Linked DNA regions of Oryzias latipes. The protein of the gene in region 1 binds, or shares a complex with, the protein of each later gene. Links are inferred from orthologs where the notes say so. Each region holds a gene or a part of one and is shown in the gene's direction. Other genes may lie near its edges.

The links.
Region 2: cep290 (region 1) and tmem231 share a complex: the UniProt entries of both Homo sapiens proteins name them as parts of the tectonic-like complex. The link is inferred for Oryzias latipes from reciprocal best matches to the Homo sapiens genes CEP290 and TMEM231.

Annotation. Positions count from the first base shown.
Region 1 is NC_019864.2:2,329,223-2,332,879, reverse strand, and holds part of cep290 (centrosomal protein of 290 kDa), read left to right. Parts: intron 1-1,151; coding exon 1,152-1,229; intron 1,230-1,425; coding exon 1,426-1,495; intron 1,496-1,579; coding exon 1,580-1,626; intron 1,627-2,223; coding exon 2,224-2,355; intron 2,356-2,743; coding exon 2,744-2,797; intron 2,798-2,934; coding exon 2,935-2,955; intron 2,956-3,249; coding exon 3,250-3,396; intron 3,397-3,657. UniProt on the Homo sapiens protein: Involved in early and late steps in cilia formation. Its association with CCP110 is required for inhibition of primary cilia formation by CCP110.
Region 2 is NC_019864.2:27,564,904-27,568,560, forward strand, and holds part of tmem231 (transmembrane protein 231), read left to right. Parts: intron 1-1,116; coding exon 1,117-1,260; intron 1,261-1,418; coding exon 1,419-1,500; intron 1,501-3,517; coding exon 3,518-3,623; intron 3,624-3,657. UniProt on the Homo sapiens protein: Transmembrane component of the tectonic-like complex, a complex localized at the transition zone of primary cilia and acting as a barrier that prevents diffusion of transmembrane proteins between the cilia and plasma membranes.

The DNA of each region.
Region 1 (3,657 bases):
ATCCTTATTTTTTAAAATGATATTTTCATAATAAACAGACCAATCAGATGCCTCAATAAAAGCATGTGGTGCCCACTGGCCCCTACCTCGAATGTTGGAAATGTATGATCGACAGACTTTCCCGAGCCCACTTTTAGTGAAAGGGGAATGGACTTCTAACAAGCTTACCGGTACTCCTAATTGGTGAGAGTGGTTGCCATAGAGACATTGACTCAGATTGACTCGGACCATTCAATCTACTGCTTGCAGACGTCGTCTGACTCCGACTTGGTGGAACCGTATTGTGAAAAATGGTAACTTAATTAAATGCATTAGGTTGGAGCCGGAATTAAACCATTTTCTAAGGGTGACGTCACACTGACTCTGCCCAGTTCTCTTATTCAGTCAATGGTCGGTTTTTTATTGAGTTGAAAAGCGAATCTCTCTTGTTATCGATCAATCTTTGTTCCAATACTCACCTATGGCCATGAACTCTGGGTCATGAACGAAAAAACAAGGCCCTTAATGCAACCGCCTGAAAGGATCTTCCTCTGCATGGTGGCTGCATGTCACCCAGAGAGAGCTGGGAGTAGAACTGCGGCTCCCCCACATCCAGAGGAGCCAGTTGAGGTGGCTCAGGCATCTGGTCTGGATGCCTCCTGGACACTTCCCTGGGAAGGTCCCACTGGGCAGAGACCCCAGGGAAGACCCAGGACAGGCTGAAGAGACTGGTCTGGGAACACCTTGGAATCCCCCCAGAGGAACTGGAGGAAGTGACCTGTGAGAGGGAAGTCTGGGTACCTTTGCTAAGGCTTCTGCCCCTGCGACCTGGTCCCGGATGAGTGGGATAGATGGATGAAGACAACCTTTAGCTGTTTGGCTAAGTCAGCAGAATGTACCCACTCAGCAGCTTTGATTCTGCCTGCTCTCACTGGAGATCTCACATAGCAGCCCACTGCTGCTGATTCAGCTTTAAAATATAAACAGTGTCTTTAAACTGCTATGAGTTGGGGAAAAATGTGTGTATGTAGCAATAATCCTATAGGCTGTAAATAAACAGACACTCTTGGTTTGACCTCTCGCTGTTTAAGTTTGGACTTTTGTTTTATTATGATGTAAAATGACTCTGCTGTTGGCAGTTCTGCCATTTGAACCATTTTTTCTCCACACAGACAGAAGAATGGGAGGTGAAGGATAAAGCTCCAGAGGACATTATTCACATCCTCAGGGTGTGTCAGGCCCTCTTGAAGGTGTCAGGTTTTATTATTTCTACACTTTGATCTCTACATTGAGCATCTGTTAACTGCCCCACCAGCATGTCTTCTATGAAGACAGAAGATTCTATGTGCAAGACACAGTCTTGATGCAGATGTTTGTTTGGACACATGCTGACTCCATTATTGATACGTGCCTGTCATTTTTAAGTCAACTCTCTTTTCCCTTTAGAGGAAAGATCGGGAAGTTGCTCTCAGTGATAGTTTCATAAATGAGATCGGCATGCAACATGCCAAAACTGGTCAGTGCACGGTTTCACCTACCTTGCTTTCTTTTTAGCTTAAAAAACACAAACAACACAGCTTTTAATTTCTGTATCCCTTAGAGAAGGAATTCCTCGCAAAGATATCCAGGCTGGAACAAGATCTAAAGGTAAGTAAGGCTTTTGAGGTTTAGTTTGGTCCATTAGTTCCTCTGCACTTCATGTGTGCATTGCTGCAGAGTGCTCTGTGTTCTTCCAAGAACTACTAAAATGTTCTTTTTGTAATTGCAAGCATGACTGCAGCCACTGTTGCAAATTTAATAAGGCAAAATAAAAGAAATAAAAACACGTCATTCATGCATGTGACGTGAAATCACTTTTCATGCCTATTTACTTCTGGCAGCAGAGCCAATTCTTTGAGCCAATCACAGAGTGCAACCCTGGCCACCACAGGATTGGCTGTAGTGACCACAGAGACACAGCACCTAAGAAGATTACATTTAATTCCATGCACGCACAGCACATTCATTTCTTGTTTTAACTTGATTGGTGTTTTGGTTTAGATTGTTTTAAATGACTATGGCATGCACAGTCATCCTCCAAATGTTAAAACATAATTGTCAATCTCTGTTAAAGGGAACAAGAATGTTGGCAAGCTTGTATGTTAGGCCTGTAAACAGATGGAGGTGATGAAAGACTAAAAGATTTCCCAGTGGGAGTTGTTTGGGATTGTGTTTGTCTTGTTTCCGGTCCACATGGCAAAGCAGCTCGGCACTGGGCCAGATGCTCGCTTTCTTAGAGAGGAGATTCGGCTGCTCGAGGCCCAGCTGGAGGAACGAGAGAAGGACTTGACCCAGTTAAACAAAGGCATGGGAAAGGAAAAGAAAACCAATCAAGAGGTAAGCGTGTGCCACCCATTGTGCAAATGCTCCGTATAGAAGTCAGGCTGAAGAGTTGAGCTTTTAAAGATCCTCTGTAATGTTTAAAATGGGACTTTACACTGGTGAACCCTTTAAATACATTCTTCTATCCTGACATGTGGCAGTGACCTTTTCTGAATCCAATGATAGTCACATTTTGAAATGATCAGCTTATAAATGTTGTTTTGGCCTTTCTCCAAAAGAAATTGTTGATACGACTTTTCCAATTGATATTCTATTAATGGGTAAATATTTTTAGCTTTATTTAAACTTGCAGAAAAGATTTTATTGTGTAGAAATTGACAAATATTTGAACTATAAATGCAAATGAAGGATTTGGTATTAAACCTTGCTTTTGGTTTCGTAGTTGACGAAGAGATTAGAGGAAGCTGAAGACGAGGTGAAGAAGCTGAAGAGAGAGGTATGTCAGAAGCAGAAATACATTGCTCAGATAACGATTTATCCCCTTCATACTTTGTCATGACTTCACCTAAAACCTTCACTCAAATCCTCCGTCTTTGCTCATCCTGTCTTCTGGGTTTCTGCTTCACGGTATAGTTGAAAAAACATAAGAAAAAGGTAAGACTTCTAGGGAGTGATGTGTTGTAAAACAATGTTTTGGTTAGCATGAGTTTGCTAGTGTTTAATCTTCCAGTATTTGCTTTGACACTACCTTTCCATTAGCATAAATAAGTTGGCAGTCCTGCAATCCATGAGGTTGAAGGTGTACCATGACATGTACAGGCTGTCCAAAAGACAACGCTATCCAAATAGTGAAATGTGGAAAAGATAGCTATTTAGCATTAGTTTATAATTGTAGGACATTCCTCTCTTTTTCCTGAAATCAATTCCCTCCTTCCTGTGCCACAACAGAACGAGCAACTGCAGCAGGATGTGGATTTCTATCGTAGAGAGCTGGACCAGAGAGTTCTGCTACCATCCAGAGATGAGGCCGATGAGACTCAGAGGAAGCTCAACTTGGCCAACCGCCAGCTTTACCAATGCTTGGAGGACCTTCAGGTTCTTGGAAATGTTTTGGTTGTAGCATGTGGTGCCTTCAGCAAGTCTGTGGTTTAGACAGAAACCTCAGGAAAACCCACTTGGGTCGTTCAGTGTGAAGTCTGGGTCGCTGTGTAGGCCAGTGTCTCATGCAATCCTCAGAAAAATATGGGTAGTGTCCGAAATTCCTTTACTACTCACTATATAGTGCGTTTTGCATTTGCCAATGTCCTAGAAATTTCCCAAAGGTTTTTGGGAAAAAAAACAGTATTCTTTGATGCT
Region 2 (3,657 bases), about 25 Mb from region 1:
AGCCTGCAGCTCTGCTCCGGGACCTCTTAAACCAATCGCACCTTTCCTTCTGATTGTCTGCCAAGTAGGCAAGGCAAGGCAAGTTTATTTGTATAGCACAATTCGTACACAAAGTAATTCAAGGTGCTTCACAAAACAGAAAAATGCATTAAAATCACAATACATCATTGAAATAATCAACGTAAAATTTACTTTAAAAGAAAAGAAAAAATTTGAAAAATGATTTAAAAATAAAGGAAGGAAAGGAAAGAAAAGTGCAGATAGGACCTTTCAGTCATATACACGGCTAAACAGAAATGTTTTAAGTCTAGATTTGAACATGAACACAGAAGAGGCCTGTCTTACGACTTCAGGGAGGCTGTTCCAGATTTTAGCTGCAGAATATTGAAACGCTGATTCCCCTTGTTTAGTTCTGACTCTGGGAATCAACAGGAGGCCGGCCCCTGAGGTCCTCAGAGTACGAGATGGTTCATATGGCACTAACATGTCAGAGATGTACTTTGGTGCTCGGCCATGGAGAGACTTGTACACAAGCAGAGCTGCTTTGAAGTCTGTTCTTTTTGGTACAGGGAGCCAGTGCAGAGACCTGAGCACAGGACTAATGTGATCATACTTCCTGGTTCTGGTCAGGACTCGAGCAGCAGCATTCTGGATGTACTGAAGCTGTTTTACAGCTCGTTTGGAGAGGCCGGTGAGCAGGCCGTTACAGTAGTCTAACCTACTGGAGACAAATGCATGAATAAGTATCTCCAGGTCTGGTTTTGACACTATGTTTTAATATTTATAAAGTATTTACTTTATAAATATTTGTAGTTATTGAAGAAGGTTAAAGGATGATTGCCGTACACCAGAATTTTTCTTTGGAATCTCTCAGGTCAGGGTGATTATAGAGAAAGGTTGGGGGTGTGAGGTTTGGAGGAAACAGATCAAAGCTGGGAGCAATTTAAATAACCCTCTACAGTATTTATGAGTAGCTGCCATGACAACTTAAAATTACAAGAATGCATTTACCCCCAGGTAAATGCAATTGTGTTCCTGGGAGGCATTCGGTAGTTTGTACTGGCTTGTAAATGTTCCAGCTAAAGAACATCTCAGTGATGTGCTTTTCTTTTTCAGCGAATGTCCACAGTCGTGATGCAGAGTCTGGCTTTCGTGCAGCTCGCCTCTCCTGTCCCTGGAGCCAAACTCTTTATTAGCGGGGACCTGAGGCTGCAGCAGAGGACCCCCCTGCCCCACAGAGGGCTCTACAATATCTATAATGTGAGAGGAAACTGACAAAGTGCGATTTTGAAAAGAAAACACGTCTCCCACCATTTCACTTCTTCTGTATTTTTTTTGCGTTCTCCATCATCTAGACATGGAAATCCGATCTGCATCTGCTCAGTTGTTTTTATTTATTTTTCTTCTTTGACGTTTAGGTGTCGGTGATAGATGGCTCCAGCCCCTTTGCCAGTGCGTACGACCTTGAGAACATAGTCAGGAGCTACCAAGCCAGAAACTGTAAGTTGACTGAAGATGGGTTGGGTTTGAGTCATGGGCAAGAGTGTAAGTAAAGTGCTTCACAATAGTAAAAGAGAACATAAAATCATAGGGGAAATAGGAGCAATCATCTCATTCATAGGACAGACTCAAATAAAGATTTAGTCGCAGTAAAAAAAACAATTTATCTACAGTATGCAGTTGTTTTTCTGTGCAAGGCTGCAAAAACTCAAAGTAAAACTTTAATATGAATTCTACGTTTAACTGTGAAGAGGACAGTAGAGGAGTTCTGTGAGCTCGTTTATTGGCACCTGTAAAAAGCCTCGCCGCAGAATTTTTAATGAGGTGAACACATTTTAACCCTTGTGCTATCTTAGATGACCCCACCCTTACATTGACAAAGGTGGATAAAAGTGGAAAGATTTCATGTAATCCATGGACACCAGTGAAGATCACAAATCATTAAAGAAAAAAGGTTCAGAGCACTGTCTAGTGGGTCTAGATGACCCAACTCCCAATGTTAAAGTGCATAGGATAGCAAAAGGGTTACAGGGCTTTTAATAAAACAAGTAGTTAGTCTAAAGTCAGGATAAAAAGGTTTTTCATTCTGTGCCGCATTTCTCAGGTGATAGAAGCCTTTGACTGTATAAGAGAACTGAACTTAGCACACACACACCGTGTTCCAAACAGGAAGTAGCCGCTGGTACCAATTAGCCAAAATCCCACAGACTTCTATAGAGAAATAAACAGCGGTTACTCAGTCATTCTATTGGTCAGGACAACCATTCTTACTCTGATACCTTTTTTAACCTCTTCTAGATAATCCTAATTTTTTTCATATTTTTTCTTTATCGCAAGTTACTCAAGTAATAAACTGGCCAATCAGATGCCTCAATGGAAAGAATGTGGTGCCCGCGGCCCCCACCTCAATGTTTAATTGACAGATTCTCCCCAGCCCGCTATCAGCGGAAGGGGTGTGGACTTCGAACAAGCTTGCTCCTGACTGATGACAGTAGTTGCCCCAGAAACGAGACTGAGACCAACTCGGACCGGTCACTGTCGTTTGGCTCCAACATGGCGACTAGGTTTAAAATGGAGACCGAATTGGCTTCATTTAATTGGAGCTGGAAGTAAGGCATTTTCTATTGGTGATGTCACACCCGCTCTGTCCAGTTCCCTTTATACGGTCAATGATAGAAACAAATTTTGGCGGTTTGTTATGTTCCAGAAACATGAATTTGTGAAACGTCACCCCGAGGTCTCTGAGACTTAACAGAGGAGCTCAGAGAGTCCATGAGTTGTTTGATCGGACAGATTTTGTTTTCAGGGACAAACATTTGCTCATCTGTCTTCTGACCATTCCAGTATAAATGAGTTACTGACCATCCACGATTTAATGCTAGTTAAACAAGCAAAGAAGTTAGACAAACTGTCGTCCTTTTTTTCAGGGAAGGAGCAATATAGCTGGATGTCGTTCATACAAAAATAATAAGAAAGGTGGCTAAGTTTGCTAATTAGTTTCCCAAGAGGAATCATATTTAAAATGAATATAATAGGACCTAGGACAGAACCCTGGGGAATGCCATAAGATATAATTCCCATCTCAGAGGTTAATGAACCTACAACGACATTAAAAGGTAGGAGGCAAGCCATTTAAAAAAAACCAGAAAGACCATCATGAAGGCAAGCAATGATGATGGAATGATATCCAGTATCAAATGCAGATTTCAGGTCCAGAAGCACTACAACAGTGAAGTGGGCAGAATGAGCCGCTGTGAGACCTTTAGGAGAGCTGTTTCAGTAGAATAGTTCTACTTTCTCAGGCATGCTGGGATTCTGTCTATTTGCAAGAAGGTTTACATGTCACCCGATTTGCCCACATGGTGTTTGCATGTTCTTCCTTTGCGTGTTCTTGGTGATCATGAGTTTGCCTCACGTGTGACATGAGTTCTTCGGCTGAACCACAACACTGAACAGGATGGAGCAGGTAAAGACAAGGAAGAAATGGGGATTTTATTTTTCTTTCTTTCTGCTTTAGTAACAACAGTACTGTCGTGTCCAATGCCGGTCTGGACTGTGGGCCCAGCTGCTGGTTCTCCCTTTGAGCTGAATGTTGAAATTCGGTACCCTGTGGAGGTCATCACATATCCTTTTTGTGTTTACTAAACCCTACAGTTT